4 linked regions of the Schizosaccharomyces pombe genome follow. The protein of the gene in region 1 purifies or fractionates together with the protein of each later gene. This does not show direct contact. Each region holds a gene or a part of one and is shown in the gene's direction. Other genes may lie near its edges. The genes, in order: ade3, tif223, lsc2 and gcn1.

Region 1 (9,239 bases):
AGATGATTTCCTTGCTCAATTGCAAGTTATAAAGATAGCGAATAACCAAATTTAAAAAACGAATGATTCCTAGGATTGGGACCGAATGTAATTTCGAAACTTAAATGAATGCACCTATTACTGAATATGTAAACGTTGTCTTTCTTCAAAAGAACGTCTGTTAATAAATTTGTACACAATGATGAGTTAGAAAAGGGTAAATTTATGTGGTGGGTAAATAAATGATTTGTTCCTTTCAAGTACTCCGTAAATATGTCTCGGCAAGTCAAAGAGTTAACGGCAACAACCTCGGTAACAGAATTCTGAGCCCCTTTATAAGATGGGTATATAAGCTAAACACCCTAGGGAATAGTTAAGAGGGTTAACCTTGAAACTTCCTGTAATGACAACTTTACTATGAGTTATGTTTGGCAAATGAAGCAAAACGGGGCGAGTGGCTCGAATGTTATGGGACGCTACCGAAGGCTGGTAGTATGAAATAACGTACTTGGGAAATTGGCTGGTACTGTGAATTAACGGATCGGCAAAAATCTTGTGTTATGATGTTACTGTATTGTTGTACGATGTCCGAGGTTTGGAACAACATTATTTTAGCTGCCAAAAAATTAAAATGCTTTTGAAGCAATGATATTGATGTGTATCAATTAATTTTTCATTTGAGGAATAAGTTATCCAGATTATTAATTAAATTACTTTAAAAGCAAATATATATAAAGTCTTTGCCCTACTTTTTCCAGTGTTTTATAGCATACCATATTAGGCATATATCTTATGAATAGTCTAAAAATTTCTGACAATGAATATGCACTCATTGAGCATCCGGGCTTTGCTAATAACAAGGATGCATTTTTTCAGACATTAGGCGGTGTTCAATCAATTCAAAAGGTAAATTGCTAAAAAAGTATAGGAATGACCGGCTTACATCTTTAAGCTTCCCCTTTTATAAAACATGAATTTGATAATCTTTTTTGACCTAATACTAACAATTTCTAGGCATGTCAAACTTCATTTCAAAACCCAAAACAAGCTCTGTTGGAGTTGAATCTAAGGCCTAAAGATAAATACCATCATCCAGTACAAGCTCGAGTGCAATCCAGAAATGACCTATTAGTAACGATTAAAAAAATGGACAACTCTGTGCAAAATGTCAGTAGAATTCGTCAAGTTTTCTTATTCAGAGATATGGCTGATTTCCAGTATAGTACTCAAAATTCACCATTCGTTCAAAAATTAGATTCCACTCTGCGAGTGCTTGACTATAACGCCATTAATAAGTTTTCCATCGATCTAACTCCGGTACAAAGAAAACATGTCGACATGCCTCCTCCTCCTGTTTTCTCTCAGACAAGTCTACCCATGTCTTATAACTTCTTGCAAAATCCACTAGTAGGTCGAGTTCGGCTACCTAATGGGAAAACTACAATAGTCAATCTAAAAGGTCAATGCAGAGTTTGGATTATCACTACAAATATGGGGGTTGAAAGTGTACCTACATGTAGACACTCAAAATTAGGTGAGCCTTCGAAGACAATTCAGGAAGTTATAGAAGCTTTAAAACCTCTTTTTGAAAAACGACCCGTTTGGACGAGAAGAGCCTTATTAAATCATCTAGACCCGTCATATACTCACTATTTGAAATTTGCTCTTCCTTACCTTTCTTATTTATGGACTTCAGGTCCATTTAGAGATACATATACGCGGTTTGGATACGATCCTAGAAAAGATTCTAATGCAGCTGCTTACCAAGCTTTGTTCTTTAAACTCAAGCTAAATGGAAAACATAAAGGGACTAAAACTCACGTGTTTGATGGCAAGACTTTGTTTCCCACTAATCGTGTTTATCAAGTGTGCGATATCGTAGATCCCACAATTGCACCACTACTGAAAGATACTCAGTTACGTTCTGAATGTCATCGGGACACAGGATGGTATAGAAGCGGTCGTTACTATAAGGTTAGAGATCTTATGCGTGAAAAACTCTTTGCGCTGATCGAAGGAGAAATGCCTTCTGAAGTCGCGGTGAATATGATTTTAAACGCCGAAGAGGTAGAGGAATCTGACAGATATTCGAATTTTGATGAACAGGATAATACAGATTTAAATGATACTGTTAGAGGTTTGAATACTTCAGCAACAGATGATCGGATAAATGATTTAATGAGGAATTTAATGAAGAGAAGTCAAGAACATGAAGGCTTTGAGGATTTAGAGGAAATTGATGATGACTACGATGATATATTTGGTGATTGAACCCCCCCCCATGTCAAGGTACTTCGATACAAAAAATTATACTCAACTTAAATTTCATTATATTCTTTTTTGTTTAACTGACCATGGTAAATGGCTTGTAAAACATAACTTATGAGTAGGTTTCAACTATCAATTGTTTCTGATCTTTAATTCTCATTTTTTAATTCTGAAGTAGCTCGCTTGATTTTGTGGTTACAAATGTCAATAATTTTATCAGATGTTTAATCTTACAGCTGCTTAGTGGTGCGCTAGTCGATTGCCCCCGGATGAACCAAACAATAATACTACGCTGCATAGCGCAATTTAAAGTACATATTTTTTCCTGACTTGTTAGTACATAAACTGAGCCAACCTATTTGGCGAGGTTGTAATTGTATCTCCATTCTACTATTTCAATAGTACTTTTGGAGTTTGTATCATTTTAGACGAAAATGTTGGTTTATTATGGTGGATCTGCCTTGAGCGTTCAGAGTAAAAAAAAAATTTTGGAACTAACAGTTTCTGGAGTTTCTGATCTAAATGCTGTTTATTTCTACTTGATCTATACTAAGTCCAATTCTTCTTTAAATTGCGAAAGTCTGCGACCAATTTTGTCTGATTTGCAAGAATCTGAATTCAAGCCTGATGGAACAACGATGGTATATGTGTTTCCACGTCCAGGAACAATTTCTCCTTGGTCATCCAAAGCAACGAACATTGCCAATGTTTGTGGATATAAAGATGTGATTCGTATAGAGAGAGGTATTGCCTATTCAGTAGTTTTTAAAGATGACATTTCAGAAGAGATGCTTAAATCTGCTTTGAATCATCTTTATGATCGCATGACTGAAGCTTTAAGATTTAAACTTCCGGAAGAGGATGAAGTTTTTGATAAGCACGAACCAGCTCCACTTGTGAGAATAGAGCTTAACTGTGGGCAAGGTGGTGACAAGCAGGCTGCAACCGAGCGATTGAATCATGCCAATAAGAAGTTTGGATTAGCTTTGGCACCTGATGAAATTGATTATTTGGTTGAGTGCTATACCTCAGAGCCTAGTTTAAAGAGTCGTGAGCCTACAGACGTCGAACTTTTCATGTTTGGTCAAGTTAACTCAGAGCACTGTCGTCATAAAATTTTCAATGCTGATTGGACTATTGATGGCGAAAAGAAAGACTACAGTCTATTTAAAATGATTAGAAATACCCATTTAAAAAATCCCCAATATACAATTTCTGCTTATTCTGACAACGCCGCTGTCTTTGAGGGAAATTCGGGAACGTTGTTTGCTCCAGTCAATGGTATCTGGTCAATGAAGGATGAACCGGTTGAGTTTCTTGGTAAAGTTGAAACACACAATCATCCTACCGCTGTTTCTCCTTTTCCTGGTGCCGCTACCGGATCAGGTGGCGAAATTCGTGATGAAGGAGCTGTCGGGCAAGGCTCTTTATCCAAAGCGGGACTTGCCGGTTATAGCGTTTCAGACTTAAACATTCCTGGTTACAAGCAACCTTGGGAGTTGGATGTTGGAAAACCTTATCACATTGCTACTTCTCTTGATATTATGCTTGAGGCTCCAATTGGCAGTTCGGCTTTCAATAATGAATTTGGACGTCCTTGTATCAATGGCTATTTCCGCACATTTTGTATGGAAGTTCCACGCGGCGATGGAACTCTTGAGATACGTGGTTATCATAAGCCAATTATGGCCGCTGGTGGTATTGGCCGTATTCGCAAGCAGCATGCTTTCAAAAAAAGTATTGCACCTGGTAGTCCTATTATTGTTCTAGGAGGTCCTGCTTTATTAGTTGGTTTGGGTGGAGGAGCAGCATCCAGTATGAATGCTGGTGAAGGCTCTGAGGAACTAGATTTTGCATCTGTTCAACGTGGTAACCCTGAAATGCAGCGTCGTGCCCAAATGGTTATTGATGCTTGTACAACTATGGACGAGAATATAATTCAGTCAATTCACGATGTCGGTGCTGGTGGTGTATCCAATGCTTTGCCAGAATTGGTTCATGATGCTGGTTTGGGTGCCCGGTTTGAATTACGCGATATCCCTTGTATTGAACCTAGTATGTCCCCTATGCAAATTTGGTGTTGTGAGTCGCAAGAGCGTTACGTTTTATCAGTTAAATCAGAAGACCTGGATACTTTTAAATCCATTTGTGAAAGAGAACGATGCCCTTATGGAGTTGTTGGTTACTCTACTGTAGAGCAACGTTTGATTTTGACCGATAGACTTTACAATACTACTCCAATTGATTTGCCTATGGAAGTACTGTTTGGCAAGCCTCCCAAGATGTCTCGAGTAGCTGAAACTCAAACAATTCCCTTATCTAAATTTGATTCTTCTTTGAAGTCATATCTGGCGCCATCGAGTGACCCAATTCTTGATGCTGTGGAACGCGTATTAAGAATGCCTGCTGTTGCGTCTAAATCCTTCCTCATCACCATCGGAGATCGGAGTGTCACTGGTCTGATTGCTCGTGATCAAATGGTTGGTCCTTGGCAAGTACCTGTAGCCGACGTTGGCGTAACCGTCACGTCCTATGGAAAGGGAATTAACACTGGTGAAGCCCTCGCAATGGGTGAAAAGCCAATCAGTGCGTTAGTATCCGCTGCTGCCTCCGCTAGAATGGCTGTCGCTGAATGTATTATGAACCTTGTAGCAGCATCTATTCCTGCTTTAGATCGTATTCGTCTTAGCGCCAACTGGATGGCAGCTCCTTCGCATCCTGGAGAAGGTGCAAAACTTTATGAAGCAGTGCAAGCGATAGGCTTAGAACTGTGCCCATCACTTGGTATTAGCATTCCTGTGGGTAAAGATTCAATGTCCATGAGTATGAAATGGAATGAAGACGGTAGGGAGAAATCCGTAACTGCACCTCTTTCACTTATAATTACTGGCTTCTCTCCTGTTGATGATCTTTATTCCATTTGGACTCCGCAATTACGTAAAGTTGAGGACATCGGATCCACCTCATTGATTTTTATTGATTTAGCAAATGGAAAACAACGTTTAGGCGGTTCTATACTTGCTCAGTCCTATAAGCAGTTGGGTGATGAGGTGCCGGATCTTGATAATTTAGACACTTTCAAGAATTTCATTAACGTTATTACTCAACTGCATAAAACCAACTACATTCAGGCTTATCATGATAAGTCTGACGGAGGTTTGTTTGTTACTCTTAGTGAAATGGCTTTTGCCGGTCATGTTGGTATTGAATGTGAGTTAGATTCTTTGTCATCCGATAATATTGCGGCTTTGTTCAATGAAGAATTAGGCGCTGTAATTCAAGTTTGTGATCGTGACATTGCCAAGGTATTGGAGTTATTTGCTGCTAATGGTTTGAGTACTTGTGTTCATCGCATCGGTAAAGTACTTTCCGGCCAGGCTCAAACAATATCTTTTAGCCGTTCTGGTAAAATAATCTTCAAATCAACTCGCTCTAAATTACACGGAATTTGGCATGAAACCTCTTATAAAATGCAAGAAATTCGTGACAATCCTGAATGTGCACGACAGGAAATGGAAAATATTGCCGATAATAATGATCCTGGTTTAGGATACCACCTTACATTTGATCCAAATGTGTCAGTTACCGCTGATTTGGCTTTAACTAGTCGTCCCAAAGTAGCAATTCTTCGTGAACAAGGCGTAAATGGTTATTTGGAAATGGCATATGCTTTTTATGCATCCGGTTTTACTGCCGTGGATGTTCACATGACTGATATCCTCAGCGGTAGAGTTCATTTGGATGATTTTGTCGGTATTGCTGCTTGTGGTGGGTTTTCTTATGGTGATGTTTTAGGATCTGGCAATGGATGGGCTACTTCCATCCTTCTTCACGAAGATGCTCGTAATGAGTTTTACCGTTTCTTTAACGAGCGTAAAGACACATTTGGTTTGGGTATTTGTAATGGATGTCAACTGTTCAGTCGTCTGAAATCACTTATTCCAGGAGCTAAAAGCTGGCCTATGTTTACATTTAATGAGTCAGCGCAATACGAAGGTCGTGCAGTTATGTTAAAGATCGATGAAACAAGTGGTTCAAAATCCATTTTCACTGAAAGTATGGCTGGATCTAGTTTACCCGTGGTCGTTGCCCATGGAGAAGGTAGAGCTGTTTTCGATTCAGAGTCCGATTACGAACAATTTAAGAAGGAAGGTTTGGATTTGATATACTACGTTAACAACTACAACGAGCGTACTAGCCGTTATCCATTCAACCCTAATGGAAGCAGAGATGCTATAGCTGGTGTTCGCTCCCCTTGTGGTCGCTTTTTAGCTATGATGCCTCACCCTGAACGTGTAGTTTTGAAAGTTGCAAACAGTTATTACCCTCATTCGAAAGCTAGCGAGTGGGGCGTTCATGGTCCTTGGATCCGTCTTTTCCAATCTGCTAGAAAATGGGTTGGTTAAAGCATTTATCTTGCCCGGAGAAGCTGAATTGGAGTTCACATGCCGTAGTTTCTTTACAGTTTTGGTTTGTTTCGTGTTACAAAATTTTATAATTATTCTACTTAAATTAATGGTGAAAATTAGATTAAGCTTGGCAGATATAAAAATCGTTAATTATACATTATTACGATTAAATTGCTTTAACCATCGAGTATATGTGTAAAAATTATGACAACTCTTTTCCTTCAGCAGAAACATACAACAGTCTTGTTAAATGTTAACTCTAGCTACCTGTTTTGCTGTTCTATGTTCCATTGTCGATAATGAGTACAATTACTATTAGCCTTTTACGAGCAATTAAAGCTTCGAATGTATATTCGATTTAAAAATTATTAGCAGTAAGCATGGCTTTTCGTGAAAGCTGACAAAGACGACTAGAAAATAAATATGGAAATGAAATCAATACCTCAGTAGTGCCATTGCCAACAGATTTGACACGTTGATCGTATGTCACATCGTAAGTGGCAGCAACCGCACTGTTTATCCGTTCTTCATATTCCGAAGAATCAAATGCCGATTGATTTGATAAAGCGCATTTCTCTAAGTACTCTTGAGTGTATTTTTTCTTTAGAAGGTCGAACTGAAAGCTAACTTCCTCCCTAAGACCATATTCATTTACGGTTTTAGCTAAATCATCTTTAAAAAGGATAAAAGCTGTGTAAACTTCATATTCTGTGGAAATATCAAAACGAGCCATAATTGATCTCAGGTCATTATCATAGTGTTTCTTCACTTCTTCAGCTACATTCAGATATTCAGTTTTAAACCTTGGAAGTTTCATACAAGGATCATAAACAGTATTCATTATCGGATTATAAGTTGCAGGTCTGCCACTTTCTCTTTGGAATCGTGCAGCGTATCTGAAAATTTTGCCAACCGCGGTTTCGGAACGAAAAGAACGAGTTTTTGTTTTTTGCATGAAGTCAGGATATCGTTTGGGATGGTATTTGGCTTGCATTTTACAAGCTACTCCCGATTTAGCAAAATCTACAGCTTTTGAATGCATTTCTGCAAGTTCTAAACACACATTTCCAAATATCCCTTCCGGATTATTATCATGGTCATGGGCCCATGCCTTCCAAGCATTTGAAATTAGACCTAGCGAATCATATTTTATATAATTCACAAAAAATTCTTTTACCGAATCGATAAGTGGCTTTCCTTCCAAAAAATCTATAGACTTCTTGGGAGATGATTCAAGCAATGGGGGATAATTAACAATTTTAGGAAGAAGACGTTGATCCCATATAACTGTGTACTCATCCCCATCCAGATCACCACCAGAGCACATAGCAGGAATGCTTCGATCACCCGTTGTCGGAAACACTATCACATTTTTTAAATGCATAAGCTCATCGCATCTGACAGCTTTACAGACACGTACGTCACCTGGATGAAGCGAGGGATTCCTTGCAACAATACACAATCCAACTATAACCCTTGTTTTCAGCTTTCCAGTTGAATATGAACCAAAACTGGTAGAAGTGTCGGTAATTTGGATGAAAATTTCAGGTACTGACAAAACAGCATCATCATAATGACCCTTTAGTGTTCCAGTTTCATCAGCTACACCAAGTAAATAGGCACCCTTTGGAACACTAACTTTTTGTTTTTCCTTAATTAACCTAAGAACCCATTCATAATATAGATTTAATAAATTCTCGGTGAAAGCATCATCTCTTTCAAGGAAACCGGCCTGGATAAAATCAGCAATAATTAAAGTAGAGTGATATTCATCTACGTTGTCCCGTAACATTAAAATGGATTTTTGTTTGCTGTTTATCGATTCGTTCATTTTTGACAACTGACTTCTAGTCAATTCCAAAAATACGGTTTTTTCAACCCCGAGTCCTTCCAATAAGGTGATCAGTTGCATATTCAGATGGGCATTTGAAAATCGAGATATTTTAATAACTTCCAAGGTACTATGGAATGATTTAAATTTATCTTGACTACGGCGTGGAAACACAAGATTTCCTTGATGGTATTCAAGCTTAGTCGGAGGAGCTAAAGATAAAACGCCTTTATAACCACCCATACGAAATTGAAACGCAGAGGGAAACATATCATGATTTTTTACTTCCAAAGAAAGTCTTCGAATTACAGATAATGATGCCATTCCAACCCCATCAGTAAAGCAGTGGTTGTTACGAACAATATCATCCTGAAGGGATATGTCAACACAAAATCGATTAATTTCCTTTGTCGTTGAAAAGCATTGTCCCATCCTTGCTGCATACTTAGATACTGAATTGATTTCACTAAAGTCACCCATCCATTCCCTGATCTGTTTGGCATTTAGATCAGATCCCGAAGCAAAAAAGTAAGCACCATGCTCTCTTAATTGAGAATTTCCAAAAGCTAAAAATTCGTAAATTTGATTACCAACTTTAATTCCGTAGGTTAATAATTGTTGGATGCGAGAATACAATTTTTCATTTCTAAACCCATCAGAACCGCCTCGAATTTTTTGCTTATAGTATTCATCAGTTATTTGCACACGCATAAAACGGTTTGCAAAGTCCTTAAAATTTCTTATAACACGAT
Region 2 (7,272 bases), 4.0 Mb from region 1:
AAAAAAATCATTAGAGGATGCCTGTCGCTTTCTAGACATCATCACAAAAGGCACTGATGATATCGAAATCCCCTCTCTTCGGAATCATTCAACACGAGTTTCGCCAAAACAGTGAGTTGTATTGAAACATAGACTTAAATTAATAGGTTTTTAGTTATTGATTAAACGAAAGAATGCTTTTACCGTTATACGCATTTATATAAAGAAATGAAGAAGTTGGTGGACTATACAAGTAAAAACGTCGAAAGAGTTTGTAACATAATTATGCAAATAGTACAAACAGACTTTGAATTATGTTTCATTTTATGAAAAGGTTAAGAGACCAAAAAAAAAAAACCAATATTGTATATTATTGCATGTTTATAAAAGTGTGTAGAAAATTTTTTTCAGACACTACTTATAATCTAATAGTCTTAAAGAGTATGGGTAAACTTATATATTGAAACAATATATATTAATTGGTAACAAAAAGTAAAATTAACAACAAGGAGCTGATGAAATTATCTTTAATTTCAAGAAAAGTTTCAAGAGGACAAAAATTCAGAAATTAAAATCAACCAAAAAACCATTGATGGGGCGATTGTACATTCTATTAGTATTCAACAATGGATTAGAGCATCAATCTAGACAAAGTAAATGGAGGATTGGTTATTATAATAAAGCACTAAGCATTGAATAAATTGGGGAATTAAACAAAATCAAAAGTAACATCTGAATGTGTGTTATGGAGAGAAATGTCTTCGGGAGCTTCACGTTCCTCATCTTCTGCAAAGCTATGCTTACGAGCACGATTGTTAGCAATACGCATTTGCTCAAGATGGACTAAATATTCTTTACTAGCGCCAGTAGTGTATTCGCCAGTAAAGAGACCAACTTCAAATTCGGTCAGCTCAGCCGTACGACAAGAATCTAATAAATCTTCTAATGTTTGATAAATGACACCATCGGCACTAATTGCTTCAGCAACCTCATCCTCAGTTTTTCCATAAGCAATGAGATCCTTACAATCAGCGAGATCAATACCGTAGACATGAGGATGAGTGATCATAGGAGCGCAACTAGCCAAATAGACATTCTTTGCACCCGACTCCCTAGCCATTTGAACGATCTCACGAGAGGTGGTACCACGAACAATACTGTCATCCACAATTAAAACATTCTTATCAAAAAACTCTTGAGGTTGAACATTTAATTTACGACGAACCGATTTACGACGAATCTGTTGACCTGGCATAATGAAGGTACGACCAATATATCGGTTTTTAATAAAAGCTTCGACGTATGGCAGTTGAGCTGTCTGTGCAAGTGCAAGGGCACTGGTTCGAGCAGAATCTGGAACAGGAATGACAGCATCAATTTTTTCCATGTAATCGGGACCAAACCGTTTCATTATAGTATGCGCTAACTTTTCACCCATATTTAAACGGGATTGGTATACGGACAATCCGTCAATAACAGAGTCGGGACGAGCGAAATAGACATACTCAAATATATCGGGAGTAAATCTTAGGCAGGGAAGGATTTGACGAGAAAACAAGCGAGGGCCTCTAAACCCTGCAAGTATATCTTCCCTATTGGAACGACGAATAAAGACACACTCACCGGGGCGAATATCTCTGAATGTACGGTATCCAAATTGAGTCAATACAACACTCTCACTAGCAAGCATGTAATCCTTTCCTTCGGGGGTATCACGTTCACCGATCACTAAAGGACGAATGCCATTGGGATCACGGAATCCCAAAACACCCAAGCCTGCGATCATAGCAACACATGCATAACCACCATTAACGCGATCGTATACATTACGCAAAGCTTCGAAAATATCATTTTCGTTTATACGAAATTTATCCAACCGTTGAAGCTCGTAAGCAAAGATGTTAAGCAAAAGCTCAGAATCAGATCCAGTGTTTACATGACGATGGGCCTCAGTGTCCAAAAAGCGTCGTAATTCGGGTCCATTAATTAAATTACCATTATGGCCCAACACAAGACCATAAGGAGAGTTAACATAAAAGGGTTGTGCTTCAGAGTGAGCACAACTTCCAGCAGTAGGATAGCGCAAATGACCAATACCCATACTACCTACGAGTTGGCGAAGTTGATGCTGACTAAAAACATCGGCAACCATGCCGGATCCCTTGCATTGGTAAAGACGACCTTTGTTTCCAGCGGTTACAATACCGGCGGCATCTTGACCCCGATGCTGCAAACTGTAAAGACCCTCATAAATTTCAGGACATGCCTGTTGATGAGGGTCAGCAAGCATTAACGCCAAAATTCCGCACATTTTCTAAAACTTGTTAGAGCTTCGGTTGTGAATTGAATACAAAAGATAATAAAATGATAGGTTTAAATGTACAAAAGAAAAAACAGCACCCAGTCAAATTGCTATAACTTGATTAAAATAATATGAGTCGGACTGTTCTATTCGGACAGCAATCAAAGTTTGAGAATACTTGGAATATAATTTCAATTTTTTTGTACCGACCGTAAAATGAGTTGTATGTTACCATCACAGAAAATAAAAAATTTTAATCAATTAAGCAGACCTCAGAAAACCTTGTAGCTACATAAGATGAAATTCAGAAGTCTAGCATCTAAATAAACGGTAATCATCATAGGCAAGTACTGCGGCGTTGGAAAATCAATATCTATATTAACTTACTTTTTAAAACGCGTACGAAACAAAAAAAAAAAGATTTTCAGGTACGCGCTGAACAAACACCGTAGTTGGGTATATTGTTAAGGCAAAATTTTGCTGCCGTATAAATTAATTTATTGTCCGCCTTAAATGATAGTGAAGTATGAGTCGAAACTATGACTGCTCAAGATTGTGATGAACGATTCGCTAAATAGAAGCTTAAAGAGAGGTGGGATATGCGCACGTTAATATAGGTAACAGGTATAGCTTGCTACTTAGCTGACAGGGTAGATGATATTAAATTGTTTGCTATTTTTGTTGCCAAAAAAAATTTTTTAAGCTTAAAAATATATCTTTAAATAAAACCTTCTTATATCAAAAAAAATTCGATGAAGTTAAGAGTGGTGCAGTGTTACAGTAATGCCGCATACACATCAACTTATTATTGAGCTTTACCGGAGGTATCCCATTACTATTTATTTGTTATAAAATCTTTCAATGTTCTGGTTTTTCTTCCTTCTTTACTCGGTAGTTAACAACAATACATTAATCACCGAGATGAGAGCTATGGGTAATCTAATCCAAAACTTTTAGTTCAACTTGTTACGATTGCAGTAGTCCAATGGTTTTTAAACTTAAAAAACTAATGAAAACAATACACAATGTACTGTATCTCTAATCTTCTGATTCCTCAAAATAATAGTTTACTAACCGGCTTCAAATATTTGTTCCTTAATTGGTGTACAGAGGATCATTTTCTGAGCGCTTGATTGATATTTTTTACTATCGGATTGATTATAAACCAGGATCGCGAAAACGTACCGATTTATAAATCGTTGATTATTAAAACATCTTTTTTAATATTGCACATTAAACAAAATTACAAGTGCAAAGCAATAATTAGTTTTCAAGCAGCTCCACATTTTGAGTTGGTAAATCATTTTAAAAAAAAATCATCAATAGTTCATATTTCATGAATACATTTTTCTAAACACAAATATAAATTCAGCACATTTTTATTTCAGATAGTGATGTGTAACGTGTAAACTTTTGGCTCGTTAGTAGGGATCTAGGAAAGTAAGGTTTTCCATCTTCATCAAATATTGGCGTACTGCAAAAAAACCCAATAATTCGTCTTCTATCAGGTTATAAAAGATTTTGGCTTCAAAGCATCCTTTTAGGTAAAAACCTTTTGTAAAAGCATCCAACGCCTTGAAGAACAACATCTCACAATGTCGTTGTATGAGCATGCTGCACTTCCTTTAGCCAGTAGCCCTTCAATCCTTGGACCTATTTCTGGTGGACGAAATCGGGGGAATATTCAATTACAGTCTATTCCGATTGAATTTCAAGCTGTTGTTTTTGCAGGATTTGGCAATAGGTAAAACAAACAAGTGTAGTACTGACTACTTAACGATTTGGATAATGATGACTTCGCACATATTATCTTCATCAACACTTAAAAAAGATAAAATAACAATAAGAAAATACTAACCATGTTTTAGTTTATATCCTTTGACTGGAAGCGATGCACTTCCCAAGGCTTTATTACCTATCGGCAATAAACCGATGCTTCACTACCCATTATATTGGCTTGAAGCTGCTGGATTTACTTCTGCTATTCTTATTTGCATGGAAGAAGCGGAAGCCCATATCAATGCTTGGTTACGATCTGGCTACGAGGGACATATGCGTATTCACGTGGAAGCACCGACTATTTTAGATGATTCTAAAAGCTCTGCCGATGCTCTTCGTGCTGTATCCCATCTTATAAAGGTATGATTTATTTTTATGTATAAGTAGATATGCATGTGTTCTTAGACTTTTTGATCTTTTCTCTCTCATTCTGCAATTTAATTACTCGTCTTAAAGTCACAAAAAATGCTAACCGATACCCACCAGAATGACTTTGTGTGTCTCAGTTGTGATAGTATAGTTGGTCTCCCTCCCATATACGGTTTGGATAAGTTTCGCCTTGATAACCCTTCAGCACTGGCTGTATATAGTCCAGTGTTAAAATATGAGCATATTACAAGTCAATCTAAAGAGATTGATGCAAAACAACTGATTGGAATTGAAGAGAAGACGAGCAGACTATTGTATGCCAAAAGTTCCGCAGACGTGGGCAGTGATTTTACATTTAGAATGTCTTTGTTGTGGAAACACCCAAGGGTTACGTTAAATACAAACCTTTCGGATGCCCATATATTTGTATTTAAACACTGGGTTATTGATTTGATCCGGGAGAAAGAATCTATTTCTAGCATTCGTGGAGATCTCATCCCGTATCTTGTTAAATGTCAATATCAGAAATCCTTTACTGTACGAGAGAACATTCAAAGATGTAAGTGCTTTTTTTAATTAACTATTTTCTAACAATTAAAGTTTTGTCATCTCCTAACAATATTGATAATTATGATGGGGGATTATCCTCACAGGAAATTAAAATTAATGCTTTAATTGCCAAAGATGGGATTATTTGTTCTAGGGCTAATAATTTACCTAACTATTTCGAACTTAATAAATGCGTATGTTTTCGAAAGCTGAGCTTCATCTCGCTTTTTAGCAGTTTCATCCAATATCTCTAACAGCAAACTAGATCGCCAAACTTACTCCAGAACAACGCCTTGTAGATGTCACCGTGTCCGAAAGAGCACTGGTCGGTGCCGATTGTATGGTGAATGAAGGTACCACCATTAAGGATAACAGCAACATTAAAAAGAGCATTATCGGTAAAAATTGTGTAATTGGAAAAGGGGTAGTGGTCAGCAACTCTATTTTGATGGACAACATTGTTGTTGAAGACGGAGTACGTTTAGAATCTTGCATAGTCGCCTCAGGTGCTCAAATAGGCGCTAAGTCAAAACTTCGTGAATGCGAAATTGGCGTTGATCATCGCGTTGAAGCTGGCCGTATCGCTCGGGGTGAGCGGCTGGTTGATATGGAAAAAATTGAGACGGACATGGACTAATACTGTGTATCAAACCGTTGTCAGCCAACCTTTTTTTTGAAATAGATATAATAAAAATTTCGTGCACTTACTCTACAAAGTGTGTCTAAACTAATCAAGGTAAAGGTGATATTAGTCAGGAATTTTTAGATTAAAAATATATACTCATAGATCAATATTAGCTAAAAGCGAAGGGGAATAAATTACAGATGAAAACGCATGTACATATATATGCAAAAAAGTTATACATATATACAAGGTTATACACATATACATCTAAAAAAGTTCATATCGCTATGGGTTAGTAATAACTCGAAAATATTTAAAACAAATAAAATAACCAAAAACTTTAGCACTCAGCGATCTTGGTGATAATAAAAGAATCATTTATTGATCATAAGCAAATATTTCATCAATTGCAAAGCAGAACGGTTATTTGTTTTGAAAATTAAATTGCCTTACCTAACGTTCATAAAAAACAGGACGTTCTTTAACTCCATTATTATAATATTTAAAACTTAAAACAGTTAGCAAGGTATTCGTATTAACAAAAGCAGTTGATGTAATGGAAATCAATCAGAAGATTATTTGTCGCATACTGATGGAGCCCATATGGGAATCAGGCAAGATCCCGAGCAATACCATCGCTCAATCGCAAATTATAGTCATCATACAAAAATATCCAAATAACATATTAATTTTACTTACCTAAAACTGGGTGTTATTAGAAACAGCTACATTACATATCTCACACTGGTAAGTGAAAACGCCAAGTTGTTCCATGAGCAAAAAAGTTTTTATAGAGGAAAATGAAGTGAAGTAAAAAAACGTATTTATGCAACAAAAAAAATAAAATTTTAAAAATAATAAATAAAAAACTAAATTCGTGTATTAAATGATGAAGCATTTGAGAGTTACCTTTCAGCCTTCATTTGCTGCTGTTGTTGCTGCTGTCTCATTTGGAGTTGTTGAAAATGAAGATTTCGTGCAACCGTCATTACTGTTGCCAAATCAGTACCAGCGGCTATTGCTTGACGATTCAGAATTTCAGTAATTTGTTCCCGTGTAGCACCTCTAGCTTTTAATTGAGAGGCACGCTGTTGAAACAAAATTGCAAGTTGTCGTATTTTTATCAAATCCACGGATTCTCGTTTTAACATAGGTTCATTTGCAGGTACAGGACCCGAAGGTAAAAAGTTTCCTAAAGCTGTTAGAAAAATAAATACAAAATTAAAATAAAATTGAATTGAACTCAAAAAGTACTGAAATAAGCCTTTAATACACTTACCAGTCGCATTGGGGGGCGATTCAGAAGATGCCGCATTAGCTGGGAATTTCTGCATAGGTTTCGGAGGGGGAATTTGAATACTACTAGGTGGTAGACGTTGGATTTTGGGTGTAGTTTTTCTTTGAACTGGAGCAGACTGAACCAAATGTGCGGGTGGTTGCTGAGCTTTCGGTGATTGCTGCTGCTGCGCTTTTTGTTGCTGTTGCATTTGCATTTGCCTTTGTTGTAGAATAGCTCGTTTACGCCGCACATTCTCAATAAATTGTAGTCTTTGAAAGGTAGGTTGAAAATCGCGTTTTCTTTGGTCATCCATTAGTAACAAAAGGTTCTCTTTTTCAAGTCTTTCTGCTTCTTCATCAGCAAGTTGGGCTGATCCTTGAGGTTTCTTTC
Region 3 (6,887 bases), on another chromosome or scaffold:
AAGATTTGTCAATTGGAGGACCGTTCCAGGCTTTACAAAATAAACAAACATATCGTACATCAGAAGCCTTTTCTCCATAAGAAGCAAGACCATTGTGATGGAAACAATGGGAGCAAATGAGAGCTTCACGATTGTTTTCGCTATTTTCGTTGGCGCCTACAAGACCTTCCAAAACCCGATCGTACCAATGTTGTGGATGCATGGGATCTGAAGAAGAAGAGGAAGACCCTGGTACGCTTTTTGCAGCAGCGGCATTGGAAAGCTTCTTTTGTGCAAGGGTTGGCTGTTCACCGTATTTTTCCAGCAGAGCTTGGGTCTCGAAATATTCCTTTCTACTTTTTAAAGCATCTAATATTTTTCTTTTTTCCGCATTTAATTTATGTAAATTCATTCTAGCACGCGACAATCTTTTTTCACAAAACCACGCAATTGCCCATCGAAACATGTAAAGACTAAACAAACAAAAATTAGTGAGTGAATTCATGCCAAAGCAGTACAATGCCTAACTATAATGTACGGCAGATGTCAATGCATACCTAAAAACACCTAAGATGTATAGAGAGATTCGAAAAAGCTTAGAGAATAAAGGATGTTGGAACAGGATGGATGAGCGACTTGCCCAAACTGCCATACCAATCGTATAGATTGCCAAAGAGCACACAGTATACCGAAATAAAATCTTTTTCTTTTGACTTTGAATATTATCAATATTATACTGAGCCTCTTCCAGCTTCATCTCCAATCGATCCAACTCCCCACCAAAATCGAACTCCTTCTTCTAATCACATGTTAGTGACTTTGAGCCTCTAAAAACTGAGAAATCCTCCTTTACAAACCTTTTGAAAAAACCAGCCCATGTTAATAAATTAATAACGTCTAACCTTTCAACGACTCACTTGACAATGAATAATTTTTGCTTATGGTTAGGAGAGTCGCAAGTGCTCGTTTCTATGAGAAGCTCTATCCAAATCACGGTTTTGCATCGTGCTATGAAATAACGTTATTAAGTATTACATTATACTTGTTTGCGAATTTTATCGAGTTGTGCTATTTGAAACTATGAGCGCAATCGATTTGCAGCGCGGCCTTACCGAGGGAATCTTACAAAGTGACTTTTGGACGAAAGTTGTGATTTTGCTATTTTGGTCAGATGAAGTAGATTTTTAATTGATTTTGCTAGAAAAAAAAAACCATTGGCTTCACATTTTGAACAACGCTCAGCCTTGAATGATGGCGACTGCAATCATAATAGAGAAGTAAATCAACAAATCTATTCCTTCAAAGGGTACTAAAGCAAAAATGTGAATATTTTTAAATCAGGTATAGGCTTTCACTGCATATTCGCTTTTTTTTTTTTTGTTTCTCTTTTGTATTGCGACAACTTTAGTGAATCGCTTGAAGTAATATTCTGATACACTTATGGGTTTGCTTCTTTAAAATACGATTCTTTTTGCTTTTTGAAATATTTTAATATCACAATCTATTAAATTTTTTAAAATTTTGATCATTTATACGATTATGAACTTTCATGAATCGCACCAACCTTCGTATTCCCGTGTTAGAGATTCAGCGTTCATCAAGAAATTTTCAACTTTCTCTTCAAAACAGAATGGTTAGTATGCCTTTTTATAAAATTCTACACATCCTAGTCATTTACATGTTATTGTTTTAGTACATGCTTATGCAAACGAAAAGAATTGCTTAACCGACTTTTGTTTACCTTATTGCACCTAGCCGATAGCTTAATAATCTAACGAAGCTTAAAAATATTCGACATTAATAATTTCTTTGGTAAAAATTTTATTTGCATGTGTGCGAATGCGAAATTTCAGGATTATATACTAATACCAACATGCTGGAAATTCTTTAAACGCTATCGAAAAACTAACTTAATATAAAATTTTATATCCAAATAGGTCACTTAAAATCTTGCCAAATCGGAGCTTTCTGTCTTACAATAGTTTAAGATATTTTAATTCCATTCATTGAATTCGAAAATCTATTAACATTAGAAAAGAATCGCTTACATGCCATTCTTTTATATTAACAAATCCTTTACAAAAGCCAGTGTAAATAGATGATGATTCATTGAAACTGCTGAATACTTAACATTGCACACGACGCTATTACGCAACGCGTAAAACAAGATAATGTGTAAGCTACGAAGTTTGGTATCTGATTTAAGGATACGTAGAGCTACGGTGAGTTTTCCTTGTGATCTATTATATTACAATACACAGGTTGTATAAGTAGCAACTGAGTATAGGTATTGTATTAACTGGGTTATAATGTTACCTATCACTAATATAGCTCATAACTGAACTGAGGAACGAGATTCAGCAGTAGCTCTATTTATAGTATTCAGATAATATTGATCTTAATAGATTATCATTAAGATCAATCTCCATATCGTATCATACATGGTACGATATATAATTAGAACATGTGACATATAGTGATACACAACGTAGTGTATCATAGCGTAGTGTAGTATTGCTGACATAATGTATGATTTGTGTCGCTATCATAATTTGTTGGTAGATTACTCTCATTGTGTGCATATAGCAATTCATCAAATGCAAGTAGCTTTATTTGTGTTTGATAAAAAAAATGCCATTTGTAATTTCACGATTATGATGCTCATCTTTCATGCTGAATGTATTCATCGTGGATAGCGACTCTAGTACTCTTTGCTGCATATCGTTACTTAAAATACTGTATGTTAACAATATTTCTATCAACGAATAACAAATTTGCGTTATGCGATGCAATTTACTATGTTTGCTGTCCAGTCATGGCAGATATATCATATCGTTTACACGTACAATATCACTCACACCCAAGTATTGGTCTTTCTACAGCCTACTCTTTGTTGTAGTTTAGGAGGAGACTCTCTCTATATATATTTTTTAAAAGAACGTGTATCTGTATGCTACGCTTCTCATATATTTATCAAAGAATTGTTTAAGTTCATCGCTAGATTCTCTCAATCCAACTTTCCTACCATGTTAACCAGAAGTGTGCTGAGAAAAGCACCTCGCGCTTTTTCTCCCTTTTTACAAAAAAGAAATCTAGCTTTACATGAATATATTTCTCATGATATTCTCAGAAAGTTTGGTGTGGACGTTCCTCGTGGTGCTCCTGCTCGGAGCGGTGAAGAGGCAGAAAAGGTTGCTCGTGATCTTAAAGTCACAGATTTGGTAGTTAAAGCTCAAGTTCTAGCAGGCGGTCGTGGAAAGGGCCAATTTGACAGTGGCCTGCGTGGAGGAGTACGGCCTGTTTATGATGCTACAGAAGCGAGAATGTTTGCTGAACAAATGATCGGTCATAAGTTAATTACCAGACAAACTGGTCCTGCTGGAAAGATTTGCAATGTTGTCTATGTTTGCGAGAGGAAGTTTATTCGTAAAGAGTATTACTTCGCTATTTTAATGGATCGTGAGAACCAATGCCCCATGATAGTCGCCTCCGACCAAGGAGGTGTTGACATTGAGACTGTAGCAGCTGAAAATCCTAGCGCTATCATCAAACGATCTCTTCCCAACAGTCCAAATCTTGACCCTCATATCGCAGAAGAACTTGTTGACAAACTCGGCTTTTCCTCTTCTAGCAAGCCAAAGGCCGTTGACGCAATCGTCAAACTTTACAAAGTATTCAATGATTGTGATGCTACACAAGTAGAGATTAATCCCCTTGCTGAAACTACTGATCACAAGGTGTTGTGCATGGATGCTAAGCTGAACTTTGACGATAATGCCGAATTTCGTCATTCCAACATTTTCGTTTTGCGGGACATTTCTCAAGAAGATCCTGATGAGGCTAGGGCTGCCAAGGTTGGGTTGAACTTTATCAAATTGGACGGTAACATTGGTTGTTTGGTCAATGGTGCTGGTCTCGCAATGGCCACTATGGATATCATCAAACTTCATGGTGGTGAACCTGCTAATTTCCTTGATGTCGGTGGTAATGCTAATGCTGAAGCAATTCGTGAGGCATTCTCTCTCATCACTAATGATCCCAAAACTACTGCTATCTTTGTGAACATTTTTGGAGGTATTGTTCGATGCGACGTTATTGCCAAAGGTCTTATCTCGGTAGTATCAGCGTTGAATCTGAACATACCTATTATTTGCAGACTTCAAGGAACCAACCAAGGTGCTGCCAAAGAGGTAATCAACAACTCAGGTCTCCGTATTTTCTCATTTGATGATCTTGATGAAGCAGCTAAGAAGGCTTGTCGTTTCAGTCGCGTTGTCGAAATGGCACGTGAAGCCGATGTGAATGTTAGCTTCGAGCTACCTTTGTAGGCTGCTAATTTTAACGGCTTTAATGTATAATTGTTTACAACCCCCTTTTCTTATTATCATTACGACATACGGCATCATGGAATGATTTTATATAATGACTTGTGTATATAGAATTCTTAGCACAGCTGTTTACCATGTCTTAAAGAAATGGTTTGTTATTTTTCTTCTTTATATATTTTATACACATTTACAGTTATATAGTAGCATAGTTGAACATCGCGATCGTAAACTCGTGTATTTGATACTATACCGATCGACGAGTGCACTTCTTAACAATCCGACGTTTTCTATTTTAGGGGAAATGTTAAATTGTAATAGTTCTACTATGCTCTTAAATTAATGCAATTTTGAATTTTGTTTCCAAAAATAAAACAAATGTTTTCTTTAATGTTCATTAATATATAAACGTTATTACATAGATAATTCATAACTAGTTTTTTAAAACGAGTAGCTTGTTCTCAAATCGAGCAACCTTTCGAATGATCTTCTGTATTCCCAACCGATTTCTGTTGTCGGCTCTAATTTTGCGTTGGAACAGGTGAACTAGATCCTTAATAGAAATGGGACCAGCTCTTAAAGCCTTCATTACCTCTGCCTCCGTAATCAGATTAGAATCTAAAAGCACGTTAATAAATTTTCTGGTAAATGTAAAACTTTAGCATACCATCAATTGGAACATTTGTAGTATCTCCCACAACCTCCACTTGATCTCCTACACTCGTTTCTGTAGACCCCATGCTAGGGACCATACGGGGAAAGTCATTGGCAAACCGTGATAACTTTTCACTTGATAAGCGGAGAATTATATATCCAGGTTTGTTAATAAGTTGTTCTTGAGGCCTTATTTGAATAGAAGTATTAGGTGATTGTAGTTGCGATGAAGCTTTGACAGGAGATACGCTGCTTGGCGTTCGTTCTAGTGGTCTTGGTGTATTAGTTTTGGAAGCGTTCGCAGAAAATCTAGACTTTAGTTTTTCTTCACGCTTTTGCAATTCTTCTTCTTCTTGCAAAACTTCTTCTTCACTAGACGCATCATGGGAGGAAGCATAAGGGTCCTCATCTTCCTCATCACTCTCATAAGCTAAATTCTTTTCAAGCAATTTTAAGTATCTTTGCAGCTTTTTTCCTTCACGCGACATTTGTCTATCATTCTCCTCTTCAAGGTCGACATCTTGATCAGCTTCACCAAACAAATTGGCAGTTAGCATTTCCTTTTTAATCTTGTCTTTCAACTTCTTATTATCTTCTTCATTTCCTTCCATAATAGGTGCTTCTTCATCGTCAGCGAATTCCTCGTCATAATCTAGTTCATCATCACTTCCACTAGCTCTCGGTCCCGTTACAGGACGTGCATTTGGAACCGTCTTAAGTTTATACATGGGTGAAGCAGAGCCTGCCTCTGCTAAGTTTTCTTCACTCTCCTTTTTCATAAACCAGCGAGGAATCGGAGTTTTTTTATTCATCTAAATGGGTTAGACAAGACCTGATGGAAATAAGGACTGACCTTTGCCTCCGCTTCATCAATTGAAAGCGTTTGGAAATTGTTACGTTGATTAAATCGATAAAATCTATCAGTTGGAATCACCTTAAAACCATTTTCCTATAGAGTAAGCATAAAAAATCTTAAATGATCAAAAGATGAATGATAAACATCCAACATCTTCAAATGGGATAAAAACTTACAGAGAACATGAACAATACATATGCAGACGATTGGCCGCCTTCCATCGTACTAACCCATGTGTTTTTTCCTTCAAAATCTTCCATAATCCAAGGAGATAACTCCTCCTCTTGTAGTCTGCGGGCCTGTGGATCAACTTTGACGACCTGGCGAGTTTTCCTTTTAAAGGCATTCTGCTTCATGTTTTGAGCGCCACCGTAAGGAGCGATTGAAGCGATGTTCACGTTACTGGAGCTTCCTTGTTCTGCATTTTGTTCTCCGTTTGACGAAGATGGAGCATTGGGGTCTCTGCGTTGCATTTTTATGGGTGGCACAAAGGATTTGGAAGGATCAATGGCTTTGTTAGAGTGAAATTTTAATAAATGGTATTTAGTTGTTTTTCTTTCACTCTCTGGACACCATGAAAGCTGGAAATCCAAAAATTTTTGCTGCGATTGTGTCGAAGCATTATTTTGGGAGTCAGGCTCCTCAACTTTGGGTTTCTTCTCATCAGGATTTTCCTGCTTTACATTTTCAAAAACTTTTGTCTCTTGTGAATCCATGTTCTCCGATAAAATATGTCAATACTGATCTTCCGCCGGTGTTGGAAGGTAGCGAGTTAAGAAGCGCTCAGGTAAGAAAATATGCATTCAGCACATATGTCAAACGCCGACTATATTGCTAAAAAGTATTTACGAAAAGATCAAGGGAAAAAGAAAAAGAAGAAAGAGAAGGATTTTGTAGAAATTCAGGATGAAGATGTCGCTGGATGGGACGATGACAATTCATTTTCACTAGTCAACAGAGAACTCACATCTTTGCATGATGCCCCTACAATTGTCGCAAATGAAAGCCTTAAAGATCGAGATATTGATGCTATTTATCAGAATATAGAAAAAACTACTAATAAACCTGCTCAG
Region 4 (7,713 bases), 900 kb from region 1:
GTATTCCTAGAACTTTCAAACGTTTTTCCGGTTTGATGGTGCAGCTTCTTCACAAGCTCTCTATTCGTAGTGTGAATGGCAATGAAAAGCTTCTAAAGGTGATCAAAAATCCAGTTACAGACTACCTTCCTCCGAACTGTCGAAAGGCAACATTATCTTTTGATGCTCCTACTGTTCCTCCTCGCAAGTATCTTGAGACTTTACAGCCCAACCAATCGGTTTGTATTGCAATTGGTGCTATGGCTCATGGTCCGGACGATTTTTCGGATGGTTGGGTTGACGAAAAAATCAGTATTAGTGACTACCCTCTGAGTGCAAGTATTGCTTGCTCTAAATTTCTTCATTCTATGGAAGACTTTCTAGGAATTGTATAATTATTAAGGTAAAAATTTTTGCATTGTCTTCATTGTTATTCAGCTTATATCCTGTGCTATAGATATTCACTTTTTGATATAGCTTGAATTTTTTGGTACGTTTCGTACTTTACATTTTCTTTAGAGAGTATTAGAATAAAATAACAACTATAATTCTAGCTTCTGCAATTACAAAAAGAAAGGAAACAATTTATCACACTACAAGGCATTGAATTAAACCATTCCATACACTTTTAAAGTTTGGGAATTACAACCTAAGACAAACTCTTAATACTCACCGATAAAATAATTCGGTAATATTGAATGACTCACAACACTATGAAGCTCAATATGAGAAATAGATGGATATTTGCTTAGAATTAGACAGATGATTAAACCAAATTATTCATAAATAAGCAATCCATTCGTTAAAAATTCCAAAACCTAAGTACATTCATACTAAATAGAGAAAATGATAAATAACAAAAAAGGTACAACTAAATGAAAGAAACGAAATAACAACCAGTAAATCACAAACACAACAAACTGAAAACAGTTCCTCAATTATGTTAGGAGCAATTTAAGGAAATTATCGTTTTCTCTCATTCCTCCACTTGTATACCGGTTTTCCGTTTACGACCTTCTTTTTCTGACGGCCTCCTTTTCCCTGTAAAAGTCTATCAAGCTCGACACGTTCTTCAGCAGCCGCCAATTTTTTGTCGCGTTTCTGGCGCAAAAGAAGCTCGGTCGCCGCCTTTTCTTTTAATTTTGAGTGCAATTTTCCAGAAAAAGGCTGGTTTGTCAGTTCATTGTTTTCAATTTGATCTTTCTTTACACGATTTTCGGTTCGACCAACCAGATCATCTGTAGTTTGGAAAAATTCAGCTGGGTTAAAACTTTTTGCCTCTTTAACATTGTCTACGAAGATGGTGTGCTTCCTGGATTCATTTTTATTCCGATGAGCTCCCACAGTATGCATTTGTTGTTCCAAATGATCAATTTTAGCACGTTCAACATTGCGATGATGCCGAATCCAGCCAATGTCTTGAGTTTTCAAAATTTTGATTGTGTCCATATCGATGGTTGAATCCTCGCGCTGTTCAAGGGGTACTCCATTTTTGGTCTTTTTGTGTGTCATTTCATGATAAAACTCATCAGGGTTTCTTTCAAGGGCTTTTTCACGAAGACGTTTTAACTTCTTTTGCTTTGTCTTATAATCCTGAGCACGCTGCGCATAATCCTTTCGTTTCTCTAGCAAACCCCATTTTCGTCTTTCAAAAGGCTGAGCTCTTTCTCGATGATTTTTCCTTTGACCTGCATTTTTAAAAGACGAAGACATCTTTAAAAAAGTTATGGTTAATGTTTGGCTGTTTGTCAAAGAACCGAATTATTGGCTTTTAGCAGATTCGCCTCTGCAAAATATTTGTGTTTAGGGCACTACAAGTGTTAGCGTGCAATGTGCTCAGGACGTTAAGATACGCTATTACCCCCTTGGCTAGTGCTTGTATTGTTTACGATTTGAAGTTATACTGTTAATACTCTATAGATATAATCAAATTTTTTAGAAAGAGTCTTTGGCTGAATGGTGGCTTGTTAGCTTTCTAGTAGAATTGGAAAGTTTACTGTTAATGTGCAGCCCATATCTATCAGTTTAGCAATACTTATTATTAAAAAATAATTGTCTTAACTTCTCTATAAAACTTTTTATTCATTGATTTATTCTGCTCAAAAGGAACGGAAGCCTCAAGATAATTTATTAATTACTGAAAAATAAAAAATAAGGAAAGTAAGAGCAACGCATTAGGACTAATCGCTATGCTGTCGTTAACATTAACTGTCATCGATATCTCACTACATTACACATTACTTAAGTTTAATGTCCTTAATCTTATCCATTACGATGCCGTCGTTCCCAATGTATGTGCTTGTGGTTGACATAACTCAATTGAACAAAAAGTGCATCTCTTTGTTCTGTAATTCCACTGAATTGGTAAATAATGTTAAGCATTGTTATACCGATTATCCTTCAGTATGGCTTTATTTTAAAAAAAGATTTTGTTAAATAGTCATCGTAGTTTACTGTATCCTCAAAGCAGTTATAGATGCTGTAGCTGACGGCAAGTTGTCTTTACACACTTCCCACAATGAAAAGGGAATAGATCAAAGAAGAGAAAAAGCTGTTACTGGTGAGTGTAAAACGCTTGGCACAACCGAGAGTTTCATAGCAAGTATATTAGATTTTTGTTATTCGATTCAGAAGATTTAATTCATTAAACATTTGTACTTTGATTTTTTCTTAATTTACCCTTAATGCTTGTACAATATAGAATATTGACTGCAGCCTAGCAAAAACTAGGGAACTAATATTTACATGTAATATGCGTTATTAAATGTGTATTTTTTTTTTTTTTTTTTTTATGGGAAATATAATTAAATTCGAACTGATATTAAATATTATTTTTAAATTTAAAAAAAAAAAAAAAGGATCTATAATATTAAAATTAATCCTAACTTGCTGGTACTTGAACGAACTCTTTATAAAATGACTGTTTAGCAAATAATTGGTTTTGTTACACATCAAAAAGAAAGAAGAAACTAAGACTAGTTACATAGACAAATTTTTATATGGATAATTGCAACAGACCCTGTAGAATATGTGTCCCAAAATCGCGTAAAATACGATAGGTGCATTTAAATCGCTGATAAAATAAAGCAATTAATTTAGGAAGCAGTTGTCTGTGAATTCTAAAAGTATTGATAAATATAAACGATATTAGCCAAAAAAAATTTAAAAAAAATAAATTCTCTTATGAAATTATCAGGTATATAGCCGTTTAGATTTCTTTTATACTCTTTAATTTTGCGCAAAAATACCTATCTTTAAGAATATTACTATTAACTTATTAATTTGGTTCGGTAAACTCGAGTTCGTTAGGTAATCGAAAATTGCTTGACGCTAATGTACCCTCTGCGAACCTGTCCATAACCAACATTTCTTTCTCCGATATCGGTCATGTCGGTCGAAGAACCTGGGATAGAAGCACATGGTCATAAAGATCGGATGCTTTATGCCATGTTGCTAAGTAAAGATACTTCGCTCGCATTTTTGGGATCGAAGAAGATTATGATAGATATCCTTCAGCATATTTGTCGTACTCAAGGTAATTTAGACTTCTAGACTACTAATTTTATGAAAACTGGTGAAGTTCTTTTTGTTCTAACTTTTCATTTCAGATATTGACGAAGAATCAGCTATTGCTGCCTTGGAAGATATTTTTGAAACTTTACCACGAAATCTTTCTAGAGATGCTCGAAAACAAATCGAAATAACAATAAATCATTTGGTCAGTAGATTACCTTCAATAGTGCTTCCTTTCTTAGTTCGTCGGCTGACCACCATCGCTGGAAGATTGGATCGCTTCAGGAGTACTGTCTCTGTATCATTTGATTGTCTTAACTGGGTTAATTCAATGATTCCCAACCTTCCAGAGAAAGAGCTACAGTATTGGATTTTAGAACTGCTTCCACTACAAAGCAGTTTTTTATCATATGCTCTACGCGATGGAAAACCCAGTGTTGCTGACAGTGCCATAAAGTCTACTAGGAGATGCTATCGTTCTTTATTTTGCAAAAAAATGGACTCCTTGAAGAAGTTGGTTAGTTTTCTGTTGACAGAAACCGAGAATGCTATTCTTCCACCCAAATCTCTACCTTTGTATGGTGTTATTATTAGCACATGCTACTATTTTCACCAATCTCCCAATCCTCGCAATGAAATTTCTCAGCAGGCTGAGCTCTTTTCAAAAATAATGGCCCAAAATGTTTTAATGGCAAAACCTGCACTTGAGAAATACTTGTATCATGAATTTTGCTACAGTCTTGGTTTGCTTCTTTCAGTAGATCAATTGAAGCTATACCTACTTCCTTCCATTGAAAAAGCTTTACTTCGCTCTCCAGAAATTATCTTTTCAGGTATACTTTCTTCTCTGGCTCATGGTTTCGCGGATTCAAAGGTGGATGCTTCTTCTTTGATTCTCTCGTCTGTACTTACCTCGTTTGTGAACGGACTGAAAAGCTCAAACGCAGAGGTTAGAAGAAACTGCTTTCAAACGTTTAAGGATTTATCAGCTAATGCGAGTGATAATGAATCACTTTCACGCGTTGCGTCTGAACTGATTACCTCTCTTAGAACCGGAAAGGTTACGGCTTCCGATCAGCGTGTTCTTTTTGTTGATGCACTCTCGAGTCTTTCTCTAAAACATATCGATGCTTCAATGCTGTTGAATGAATTATTACCTCTTTTTACTAAAGCAAAAGAGAGTGATTTTAATTCGCTTGCGTCATTGATTGTTAAAACGTTGAAATTTTTGTTAATGAATGGTCGTAATCCCGGAGACAAAATTTACGATTTTCTCTCTAAAAGCCTACAGAGACCTGTCGCTCATGAGTCGATGTTTTGGCTCACATCTTTAGCTACAATGGCATGGGATCTTCCTGCATCTGATGATGTTCAAATAGAATTTATCAATTTCTTTTTAAATAATTTGTCTATTCTTACGGAAAAGGCTCTAATGTCTGTATCTGGTGCTACTCAAAATGGTACATACTTAGCACCTATAATTTATTTAAGTTTCGGTGTTAATAAGTTGTCTGTTTGGAATAGTGAGAGAATATCCCATACTCTTGAATTGCAGGACATTTTAGTAAAACTGTCAACTCCCAAAAATAATGATGTTTTCATTTTCTCCAGCAAAATTACCAATAAGCTTAATGATGATCAGTCGAAACTTTGGTATTTTCAGGGCCTCTGTGATTTTGCAAAAGTTTCTGATAATTTGTTATTTTCCAATTTTGTTGAACGTTGGTTTCAATCGGTCATCGGCGTTTTTTCTTTTGCTAGCCGTGAAAATTCTAATCGTGCGCTAAAGATTCTTAAATCGGCAATACTATACCGTCCCCATCTTCGTATGTCAATTTGCTCACAACTATGGAATTATCATGCTGATTTCGAGAAGTCCAAGAGCGTAGGAAAGTTTGACTCAGCCAAATACGATGAGATTTCCTCATTATTTCAATCCTTAATCCTTTCATCGATGTCCGCTGATACTTCTAACTTTTCAAACCAGGAACTTGTTGACTTCGATAAATATTTGGTTGAACTCCTCTTCCTCTCCTTTGCATTTAAGGATAAGTTTGATTGGATTCGCTTCTGTCAAGTGTCTAAACGTGATCCCGCTACTCTTGTTTCTGAACGCATACACAGTATCATCGAAGAAATAGAGTTGTTACTTTCTTCTGCTATCAAGGACTCTAAAGAGACAGCAGCTATTGCGTCTATTTCCATGATTGTTTTTGTCGCTCCTGAAGAATCAATACCTTTGTTCGTAAATGTTTTCCGTAATCAATTGTTGCACCTTAACATTTCTTCTGTATCAAGTACGGATTTAGAAATTTGGAAGACCCCTGAGGGTGTATTGTGGGATAACGTTTTAGAAAAAAAATCTTCAAAGAAGCTTGATAAGAATACCAAGGATTATGAGACTAAGAGATGGGAAGCTGAAGTGAGGGCGAAACAGTCTGCTAAAAAGCCTGCGAAGTTGAGTAAGGATCAACAAGCTCTTGTTGATGCACAACTCGATGCTGAAGCTAAAATTCGTAGTCGAGTCAACTTGATTGCACTTTCATTAGAAAGGGGATTAGGCATTATTCGGAGCTTAGGTGAGGCTGTGCAACTCGCACCTGCCCTATGGGTTGAAGATGCTATTGATGTCTTACTTTTCCACAACGTTCTGAAATATAGTGAGCCATTTCTTAAAAACTTGGCCTATGATACTTTTCTGCTTACTTTGAAAGCTTCTGGATTTTCTGAACGATTAGGTGATAGATCTTATTCATCGAGTCTCGCCTCTATCCTTGCCCATACATTTAGTGTAAATTCTTCTGAAAATATTAAGGAATTAACAAAATCCATACTTTACAAACTTCGCTTTGCCATTGAGCAAAACTATTTTGAGCCACAAATGTTTGCATGCATATTTCCATTACTTTATGACTTGACCTTTAATATCACCAATTCTGATGAAGAAGATGAAGCCGAATTACAACTTTTGGTTACAGAAATTTTGGAGTTTCAAGCACTTTACTCAGCTTCACTAAGGAGAATGCGTTCAAAGCTAATAAAATCATTGCTGCACTTACTTGAGATTGCACCTACGCAGTATCAGGAAAATAAAAACTCTTTACTTTCTCTTTGTGAAGGGTTACACTCGACATATACCGATGAGGAACTTAATTTATTATTAAGTAATCTTTTTCACCCGGAAAGTAGTATCCGATCAGCTGTTTTGCAAGCTTTACAGGCTTTTGATTTATCACGTTTTGAATTTATTAAGGAAATCTTTCTGGAATTGTATGATGATAATGAAACAAATGCATCTATAGCTCATCAAATATCGACCCAAAATGGACTTGATGCTACCGAAACTTCATTTTTTGAACTTCAAATATTTTTTACTCAAGATTCGGACTATCTTCAGCAGATCATTGGTAAATCTTTAATTGATTTGCTTGACGAGTTTGAAGAGCTTGGTCAATTTATACCGAAGGAATTAATGCGAACATATCGTGAGAATGCTTTACCTTCTGCTCCCGAATATGATGAATATGGAATCATTAAGAAAGAAACTATTGGACGCGATTTGGGGCGTATAGCTAGAGAATCAGTAGCCGTATCCTTTTTTCACATTTCCAAATATCTTTCGTCCAATTTGCTATTACCCTTCTTGGAGTTCTTGTTAACTGCTTCGGAAGCGGAGGCACAAATTCCAGTAACTGATGCTTCCCAAAAAGTGTCATCGAAAATGCTTGAGGCTGGAAAATTAGCAATTTTTCAATCAGGTGCACACCAGGTTGAGGCTCTAATGGAACTTTTTGAACAAAAGTTGAATGTTGATTCCTTGCCTACTGATGCTAATGATCGTTTACGGGAAGCTACTGTCGTATTATTTGGCACGGTAGCACAGCATTTACCTTCAAATGATCCTCGTCTAGCTGTTGTTATGGATAGCTTATTAAGTGTACTCTCTACACCCAGCGAGAGTGTTCAGCTTGCTGTTGCAGTTTGCTTACCTCCTTTGGTTAAAAAATCATTAGGTAAATCAAAGGAGTATTACGAATTATTGAGTAACAAGCTTATGAACTCCACATCACTTGCTGACCAAAAAGGTGCTGCTTATGGCCTGGCTGGGTTGGTTAAAGGTTACGGTATTAAAGCCTTTCAAGATTTCAATATTTTAGATTCGTTATCAGAATTAATCTCGAATCGACAAAATGCTACTCATCGACAGGTAGCTCTTTTTGC

The links.
Region 2: the proteins of ade3 (region 1) and tif223 purify together in Schizosaccharomyces pombe (co-purification; one study listed by BioGRID). This does not show direct contact.
Region 3: the proteins of ade3 (region 1) and lsc2 purify together in Schizosaccharomyces pombe (co-purification; one study listed by BioGRID). This does not show direct contact.
Region 4: the proteins of ade3 (region 1) and gcn1 purify together in Schizosaccharomyces pombe (co-purification; one study listed by BioGRID). This does not show direct contact.

What each region holds. Positions count from the first base shown.
Region 1 is NC_003424.3:1,326,676-1,335,914, reverse strand, and holds ade3 (phosphoribosylformylglycinamidine synthase Ade3), read left to right. Parts: upstream 1-2,594; 5' UTR 2,595-2,681; coding exon 2,682-6,653; 3' UTR 6,654-6,824; downstream 6,825-9,239. Other genes in the region: transcription factor TFIIIC subunit Sfc1, read left to right, coding at 772-885, 994-2,250; RNA-directed RNA polymerase (RDRC) Rdp1, read right to left, coding at 7,015-9,239. UniProt on the Schizosaccharomyces pombe protein: Phosphoribosylformylglycinamidine synthase involved in the purines biosynthetic pathway. Catalyzes the ATP-dependent conversion of formylglycinamide ribonucleotide (FGAR) and glutamine to yield formylglycinamidine ribonucleotide (FGAM) and glutamate.
Region 2 is NC_003424.3:5,363,672-5,370,943, forward strand, and holds tif223 (translation initiation factor eIF2B gamma subunit tif223), read left to right. Parts: upstream 1-3,733; 5' UTR 3,734-3,876; coding exon 3,877-4,025; exon of another isoform or gene 4,026-4,094; intron 4,095-4,149; coding exon 4,150-4,420; exon of another isoform or gene 4,421-4,543; intron 4,544-4,546; coding exon 4,547-4,988; exon of another isoform or gene 4,989-5,029; coding exon 5,030-5,172; intron 5,173-5,243; coding exon 5,244-5,615; 3' UTR 5,616-5,707; downstream 5,708-7,272. Other genes in the region: protein Csi2, read right to left, coding at 1-42; amidophosphoribosyltransferase Ade4, read right to left, coding at 689-2,290; SAGA complex subunit Spt20, read right to left, coding at 6,509-6,795, 6,883-7,272. UniProt on the Schizosaccharomyces pombe protein: Acts as a component of the translation initiation factor 2B (eIF2B) complex, which catalyzes the exchange of GDP for GTP on the eukaryotic initiation factor 2 (eIF2) complex gamma subunit.
Region 3 is NC_003421.2:2,156,594-2,163,480, forward strand, and holds lsc2 (succinate-CoA ligase beta subunit Lsc2), read left to right. Parts: upstream 1-2,835; 5' UTR 2,836-3,005; coding exon 3,006-4,307; 3' UTR 4,308-4,702; downstream 4,703-6,887. Other genes in the region: lnp1 (protein lunapark), read right to left, coding at 1-452, 537-778, 837-857; transcription factor TFIIF complex alpha subunit Tfg1, read right to left, coding at 4,738-4,922, 4,972-5,770, 5,812-5,907, 5,991-6,530; protein Cwf26, read left to right, coding at 6,627-6,887.
Region 4 is NC_003424.3:2,222,994-2,230,706, reverse strand, and holds the start of gcn1 (translation initiation regulator Gcn1), read left to right. Parts: upstream 1-3,316; 5' UTR 3,317-3,366; coding exon 3,367-3,514; intron 3,515-3,587; coding exon 3,588-7,713. Other genes in the region: rRNA (pseudouridine) methyltransferase Mra1, read left to right, coding at 1-374; U3 snoRNP-associated protein Utp11, read right to left, coding at 943-1,692.